Neurospora crassa OR74A: one gene and its partner. The protein of the gene in region 1 purifies or fractionates together with the protein of each later gene. This does not show direct contact. Links are inferred from orthologs where the notes say so. Each region holds a gene or a part of one and is shown in the gene's direction. Other genes may lie near its edges.

Region 1 (4,348 bases):
TCGTCAAGGAGGCCAGCGAGTGGAAGGAGCGCGGTACCGGTGACGTCCGTCTCCTCAAGCACCACGAGAATGGCAAGACCCGTCTCGTCATGCGCCGCGACAAGACCCTCAAGGTCTGCGCCAACCACTACAGTAAGCAACACCCTACTCTATTGAAGCTGTTCTTGAATGAAGCTTGCTAACCATACGATTCTACTAGTCGTTCCTGAGATGAAGCTTTCCCCCAACGTTGGTTCCGACCGCAGCTGGGTGTGGAACGCCGCTGCCGATGTTTCCGAGGGTGAGCCCGAGGCCGTCACCCTCGCGATCCGCTTTGCCAACTCCGACAACGCCAACGCTTTCAAGGATGCCTTTATCAAGGCCCAGAAGGACAACGAGGCTCTCTTCAAGGCTGCCGAGGAGGCCGCCGAGAAGAAGGAGGCTGAGGAGGATTCCGAGGACGAGAAGGCCGAGTAGATGTGTGGTCTAGTTTTGCATGAATTTGAAGTTGCTTTAGGGAAAGTTTTTCAACCACCCCGTTCTATTTTCCGTTTTGCTAGGTGTTAGAGGGGACGATGACATTACTACCTCCATGGGCTGGGCGATGGAATGAATGAAAGGACCGCTACAGAAGTTATGACGATGATGATTCCTAGGCTAGAGAGCTGGTACATGGGCAGCGTGTGCGAGAACAAAAGGTTGAAGTATCCGACATGAAAGCACTATTCAGGTGTGCGTTTGACGAGATTTCAATATACTGGTAACATACTGCGACGGCCCTTTTGCAACTATGGCTGGCAAGGAGGATGAGGATGGGGATTACTCTTAAGGGATCTAAATAACCTTTAGCTTAACCAACAGTTTTAGATAGAACAACTCACTACCCTTCACACCGATGCATTGCCTTTGGGGGTTTTTGATCAAGTTCTTGTACACACAACCTCGCCTCGTCATACCTGGCTGACGGCTTAGCACGATGGTCCACCAAAACATGAGACGAATCTGATGGACTGGCTAGCTGACGGAAACCTGAGCCTGTCTTGAAAGAAACACAAATACTGAATTCCGTTTGCCAAGTCGTCCGTGACGCGGTCTGGCGACGACCGTATAAAAAATCTGGTTGTTTTGCGGTTTTGGAGGTTTCTTCTCTTCTTGACTACCTTACGGCGAGCTGACGACGATCCTCTTCTTCGCCAGCGGTCTCTCACTACTCTTCTCCCGACGACGCAAAATCACATCTTGGAGCAATTTACTTCAAGATTTCAGGGTCTACTTCAGCATCACCGTCGTCTTTGACAACTTCTTTCCAAGACTTCTGCTTTCTCGATCATCGCGATATTTCGATTAGAGTGGTGATATCTTCGTTCACCTAGGTGAGCTCACCTTGCTTACATCCACGGTGAGGGGTAGAGGAATGCCGGCAAAGCGAGCTGACGCTCACTGCATCACAGCGCACCAGCCACAGCACGCACAGCGGTACCTCACTGAGTGCTAGCGACGGGACAATGGTCGACTTCAGCCATGGTTACGGTTTTGACTATGGCGGCGCCGCGACGCCTCCGTTCGCGAATGACGAAGGTATGTCCCGCTTGAACCAACTTCATCGGAGTGTACATATATTGCACAGTGACCCAAATTCCCAACCATCCAAGTCGCATCAGCACCATAACTCAGTAAAAACCTTCCCACATTGCCTTGCTTGAACACTCCCTTGAGCATTTTTCAACCCAAGGCCATCAGAGAGGAGACACGCTCTTAACCTTAGCCCCTCTTCACGATCACGATCGCGTTCCCATCCAACTTTTGCCTATCCCAATTTGTACGCTATACACCTTAGAGCTACGTTATCCCCATCATTATCCCTGGTTCCCAACCGCACGCCACGGCCCGCCGCGGTACCTTTACCCCTCCGTAACGGACGACCTTATTCTCTACCGCTACAAAGCCCAACTCTAGCAGCGCGACGGAATCTGCGACACACCAACACATACAACACACCAAACACTATAGAGCCCATTGCCAGACAGCCCAACGGATACAACAACGTCGTACATCCTCGAATCCTTGCTCTTCCTCAAGAGCCCGAACGCCACTGTCTTACTACTGTCCTGTACTCGAGACACCGACCGAACGCCGATTGTCAAAAGAGTGCTGTTCGAGTACTAGGACACGAGCAAGTGAAGAGAAGTACACAAAGCTAACCGCGGGAATCCATCCAATTTCTGGGAAGCAGAGGGCCTTGAGGATCGGTCGGACGTTCCCAGTAGTGCTAGTAAGAATACTCGAACCAAAGCTACTAGAAGGAATCCGAAGCGGGTTCCAGGCGCAAACAAGATGATCGTCGAGGTTAGTTTCCGGATTCCCAGTCCAGTGTGGTTGGTAGCTTGCGCAAACAGGGTGACCACTGTAGCGGCATACAGAACAGGTGCAGAGGCAGGGAAAGGAAAGGCCCTAGGAGGAGAACGTTCCGGGATAGCTGTTGTTCGGGAAATGGATTCGACGGCTAACGTGGGTTTATTTGTCTACAGCGCAAGATCAAGGTTGTCACAGAACAACACAATATCAACAAGCCGGCGGCACAGGAGGGCTACCCCATGAAGGAGTGGACGGTCGAGCTCTATATTCTCGACCAAGATGGCAAGGAGAGGCCCGCCAGGTGCTTCACGAAGGTGACCTACAACCTTCACCCTTCGTTCGCGAACCCTATCCAGAGTAAGTAGACACCGGAGCGGCCGCCGGTCACCTCTCCCCATCTCTGTTGTGTCTCGAGAGCCAGAGGTTGGCTAACGCGTCGCAAATTCAGCTTTCAACGATCCTCCCTTCAAATGCACCAACGAGGGCTGGGGTGAATTTGAGATGATCATCGATATGTACACCACCGAGAAAGGCGGCAAGATCTCGATCGCGCACGACCTGAACTTCCAGCAATCAGAGTACGAAAACATCCATACCGTCACCTTCCGTAACCCATCTCAGGCGCTCCAGCAGCTCCTGAGAGAGACGGGTCCCTTGCCCTCGGACGAGGAGCGCAAGCAGAAGAAGGCGGTGGACGGCGGTTCCAAGAAGAAGCGGCCCTACGACATCGAGCGTATGGCGGATGGCTTGACGAAGCTGGGCGAGGATGACCTCCTGCAGGTCATTCAGATGATCCACGATCACAAGGATGACAATACGTACATCCAGAACAACCTCGATGGTAAGTTTGCCCGCTAGGGAGTGTGGCCCCTGGAGGCAACACGAGCTGATGGCTGACTGGACATGTCTATAGCGGGCGAGTTCTCGGTGGATCTCTACACTCTTCCTGACAACCTCATGAAGATGCTCTGGGAGTTCTTGGTAAGTTGTTCTTCCCATTCTTTTGCCCCCTCAATCGGATCCTTCTGTAGCTAAATCGCTAATATTACCACAGGTCAAAGCCAACGTAGTCTCATAGTACGACTTCCTTGGTCCAAGTAACCTACAGTAGTCGATGGCCATCGATTTACGAAGTCATCAGGGACGGGAACATTCTTCCTTACTAGATCGCAGTGCGCACCATACCATACCCAGTACACCACCACCCTCTTTATTCACTATTATTGATCCCTTGACACTTCCATCCACATCAACATCAACCACCTTCACCATCATGCCATTGTAGCCTTAGGCTTCTTCGGCTCCTGCATTACCGTGGCGTTTATGGAGTTATGGTGGGATACGCAAAAAGCAAAAATTGAGAAAGATTCAAGAGCTTCTCTTGACAAAATTTGTGCTTGATTTGATCTTCCAGATTTCTTTCTTTGCGTGATATTCGATGGTCTAGGGTGTGTTCCGTTGAACCGTTTCCTTTCTGCCGGTGGGATCGTTGCCTTGATTGGTGGTGTCTGCTCGTGAGGACTGCTCTTCACTGGAAGGGAGTGGCATCGCTAATCAGTTTGTGCTTTGGGCGGACCTTGAACCTTATCATGTGCAAGGTTTGCCCCTCTAGGTAGGATCGTCATAGGGAAATTTGAGACTGTTTATTGGAAAGAAAGGTTCGGGAAAGGATGGGTAAGAGGTAGAAAGGAGGTATGTAATAGATCCCACGCCCATGGAATTCGGAAGGGAAAGAGAAGCGGTTATGTTGTAGGCGGTACCTAGTTCTCGATCACGGTCTCTCTACGTTGCTCGTCGTATGGCGGTATTAGAAGCAGAGAACATGCTGTATGGTTTAGTTTACACAGTTCAGGGTATGGAGCAGCAGTAACTGTCCGTTCGCCTTAGTCTCCGTGTCTCCTGTGCCTGGACTAGAGCGCTATAGATCTGCCAGCACCCTGCCAGATAGCCATCTTTTTCAGGCATGAGCTCTTGGCTTATATCCGGAGCTACTGCGGTAGGCGATATTATCGGC
Region 2 (2,872 bases), on another chromosome or scaffold:
GCGACATCCGTGACAGAGAGTTCAAGATTTTCTCGGATGCCGGTAGAGTCATGAGGCCGTTGTTTGTTGTCGAGCAAGAAGACAACAGCGAATCCGGTGTCGAAAAGGGTCAGCTCATCCTTACCAAGGAGCATATCAGGCGCCTTGAGCAGGATAAGGAGCTTGGCAAATACCATGAGGATTACTTTGGCTGGCAAGGCCTGCTCGAGTCAGGTGCTATCGAATACCTCGACGCCGAGGAGGAAGAGACGGCCATGATCTGCATGACGCCAGAAGATCTGGACACTTACCGTCAGCACAAGTTCAAGGGTCGCGAGTTTGAGGACGACGCCGCCAACCGTGGCAATAGCCGTATCAAGACAAAATTCAACCCGACAACACACATGTACACGCACTGCGAGATTCACCCCAGTATGCTTCTCGGTATCTGCGCCAGTATCATTCCTTTCCCCGATCACAACCAGTCGCCCAGAAACACTTACCAGTCTGCCATGGGTAAGCAAGCTATGGGCTTCTTCCTTACCAACTACTCCCGACGTATGGATACCATGGCCAACATTCTTTACTACCCTCAAAAACCACTGGCGACCACCCGCTCTATGGAATATCTCAAGTTCCGTGAGCTTCCTGCCGGTCAGAACGCCATTGTTGCCATCGCTTGTTACTCTGGTTACAACCAGGAAGATTCCGTCATTATGAACCAGAGCAGTATCGACCGTGGTATCTTCCGCAGTCTTTTCTTCCGTTCCTACACGGATTGCGAGAAGCGTGTCGGCATCAACATCGTGGAGCAATTTGAGAAGCCAGATAGAAGCAACACCCTGCGGCCCAAGCACGGCACGTACGACAAGCTTGAGAATGATGGTATCATTGCTCCTGGCATAAGAGTCACCGGTGACGACATCATCATCGGCAAGACATCTCCCATCAACCCCGATAACCAAGAACTTGGCCAGCGCACGGCTCAGCACGTCAAGCGCGACGCGTCCACGCCGCTGCGCAGCACGGAGAGTGGTATCGTCGATTCCGTGGCCTTTACAACCAACCAGGATGGTTTGCGCTACGTAAAGGTCAGGGTTCGTACGACAAAGATTCCCCAGATTGGTGATAAGTTTGCGTCTCGTCACGGTCAAAAGGGTACCATTGGTGTTACTTACCGTCAAGAGGATATGCCGTTTACCGCCGAGGGTATCACGCCTGATATTATCATCAACCCTCACGCCATTCCTTCGCGTATGACAATTGCCCATTTGATCGAGTGTCTGCTGTCCAAGGTCGGTGCGCTCAAGGGCATGGAGGGTGATGCCACCCCCTTCACGGATGTCACGGTCGATTCCGTCTCCAACCTCCTCCGCGAGCACGGCTACCAATCCCGTGGCTTTGAAATCATGTACCACGGCCATACCGGCAAGAAGCTTCGCGCCCAGGTGTTCTTCGGTCCTACGTACTACCAGCGTTTGAGGCATATGGTGGACGACAAGATCCACGCTCGTGCTCGTGGTCCGGTGCAGATCATGACTCGTCAGCCCGTCGAAGGTCGTGCCAGAGACGGTGGTCTCCGTTTCGGTGAAATGGAACGTGACTGTATGATTGCTCACGGTGCCGCTGCCTTCTTGAAGGAGAGATTGTTCGAGGTTTCGGATGCTTTTAGAGTGCACATTTGCGAGATTTGCGGTCTCATGACTCCCATTGCGTATGTACCTCCTCTTCCCTTTTGATGGGTCCGTGTGATGCTAACAGTTCGTCTGCAGAAACCTCACCAAGCAATCGTTCGAATGCCGTCCTTGCAAGAACAAGACCAAGATCGCCCAGGTCCACATGCCCTACGCGGCCAAGCTTCTGTTCCAGGAGCTCATGTCGATGAACATTGCCTCGCGCTTGTTCACCAGCCGGTCCGGCATCTCGGTTCGTTAAGGGTAGTCGTGGGTTCCCCGGGGGGTTGGTTGGTGCGGAAAGGCTCGGTTATAATATCACGGTTTTTTCTTATCATGGTCCTTGTACATGGCATGGCATTTATAGGCACTGGCAAAAGAGAAGCGGTTCTTTCTTTACATGCTGGGGCTGGTAGATGTGCTGTGGGATCCAAAGGAGACGGAAGGAATGAGGAATCAAGAAGGACGACAATGAGAGAGACAAAAAGTTGCATAGAAATGGTCGTTCTGGCGTTCAATGATTGAAGATTGCAATTTGCAAGCAAGTTTCGCAAAGTTATCCAGGCTGTCTCTGTGCGCATTTGCGAGGGAAGAGGGAGTGGCTCAGTTTTCACGCGCAAAGTTACTACTTACTATACATTTATCAAAAAATATCACTATCCTGGTGTGTTCGCAAACTTGACATTGGAGGCACATACACATCAAGTACCCTCGAAACAATTCCTTATGAATGTCCAATACAATAATAAGTACAAGATGCCAGTCTGCTTCCAAGCAGAGACGTAATAATACAAGTGTTATACAGTTTATGACTGCTGTCCCTCAAGGATTCCAGCCGCAGACTTCCACCCTGAAGGAAGCCGCCAAGCTCATCCCCGTAAACAGTCAAGACCGACATATTGAGCACGTCGGTCTACCAGATAAAGCCATGAGGGCAGCCGCACCATCTGGCTATCCGTACGCCGACAAGCGTACCTCTTGGCCTTCGGAAAAGGCACCGCTCGCTAGCTAGGAAAGAAGGCGGCGTTTCTGCTCGTCTTCTTGACTCTCTATAGGTAGCCCAGGTGTACCTCGCTGTCCTCACTTTGGGTCCGCTGGGTCGGAACCTCCTCCCCTCTCTAGCTCGTAGTCAACGAGCGGACCATCGGTATAGCCAGTCCCTCCTCTTTATCTCTTTCTTTTTTCCCTCTCAGCTACCACACCTCCTCCTCATTTCTCCC

Evidence for each region. The genes of interacting proteins can lie anywhere in the genome.
Region 2: the proteins of NCU00444 (region 1) and NCU05120 purify together in Saccharomyces cerevisiae (affinity purification with mass spectrometry; 6 studies listed by BioGRID). This does not show direct contact. The link is inferred for Neurospora crassa OR74A from reciprocal best matches to the Saccharomyces cerevisiae genes TAF14 and RPB2.

What each region holds. Positions count from the first base shown.
Region 1 is NC_026503.1:3,880,108-3,884,455, forward strand, and holds the start of NCU00444 (transcription initiation factor TFIID subunit 14), read left to right. Parts: upstream 1-1,482; 5' UTR 1,483-2,313; coding exon 2,314-2,325; intron 2,326-2,507; coding exon 2,508-2,691; intron 2,692-2,782; coding exon 2,783-3,175; intron 3,176-3,247; coding exon 3,248-3,315; intron 3,316-3,388; coding exon 3,389-3,412; 3' UTR 3,413-4,348. Other genes in the region: NCU00443 (ran-specific GTPase-activating protein 1), read left to right, coding at 1-132, 200-456. UniProt on the Saccharomyces cerevisiae protein: Functions as a component of the DNA-binding general transcription factor complex TFIID, the RNA polymerase II associated general transcription factor complex TFIIF, and the chromatin-remodeling complex SWI/SNF.
Region 2 is NC_026506.1:3,688,461-3,691,332, forward strand, and holds the end of NCU05120 (DNA-dependent RNA polymerase II RPB140), read left to right. Parts: coding exon 1-1,693; intron 1,694-1,751; coding exon 1,752-1,914; 3' UTR 1,915-2,366; downstream 2,367-2,872. Other genes in the region: NCU05119 (hypothetical protein), read right to left, coding at 2,862-2,872.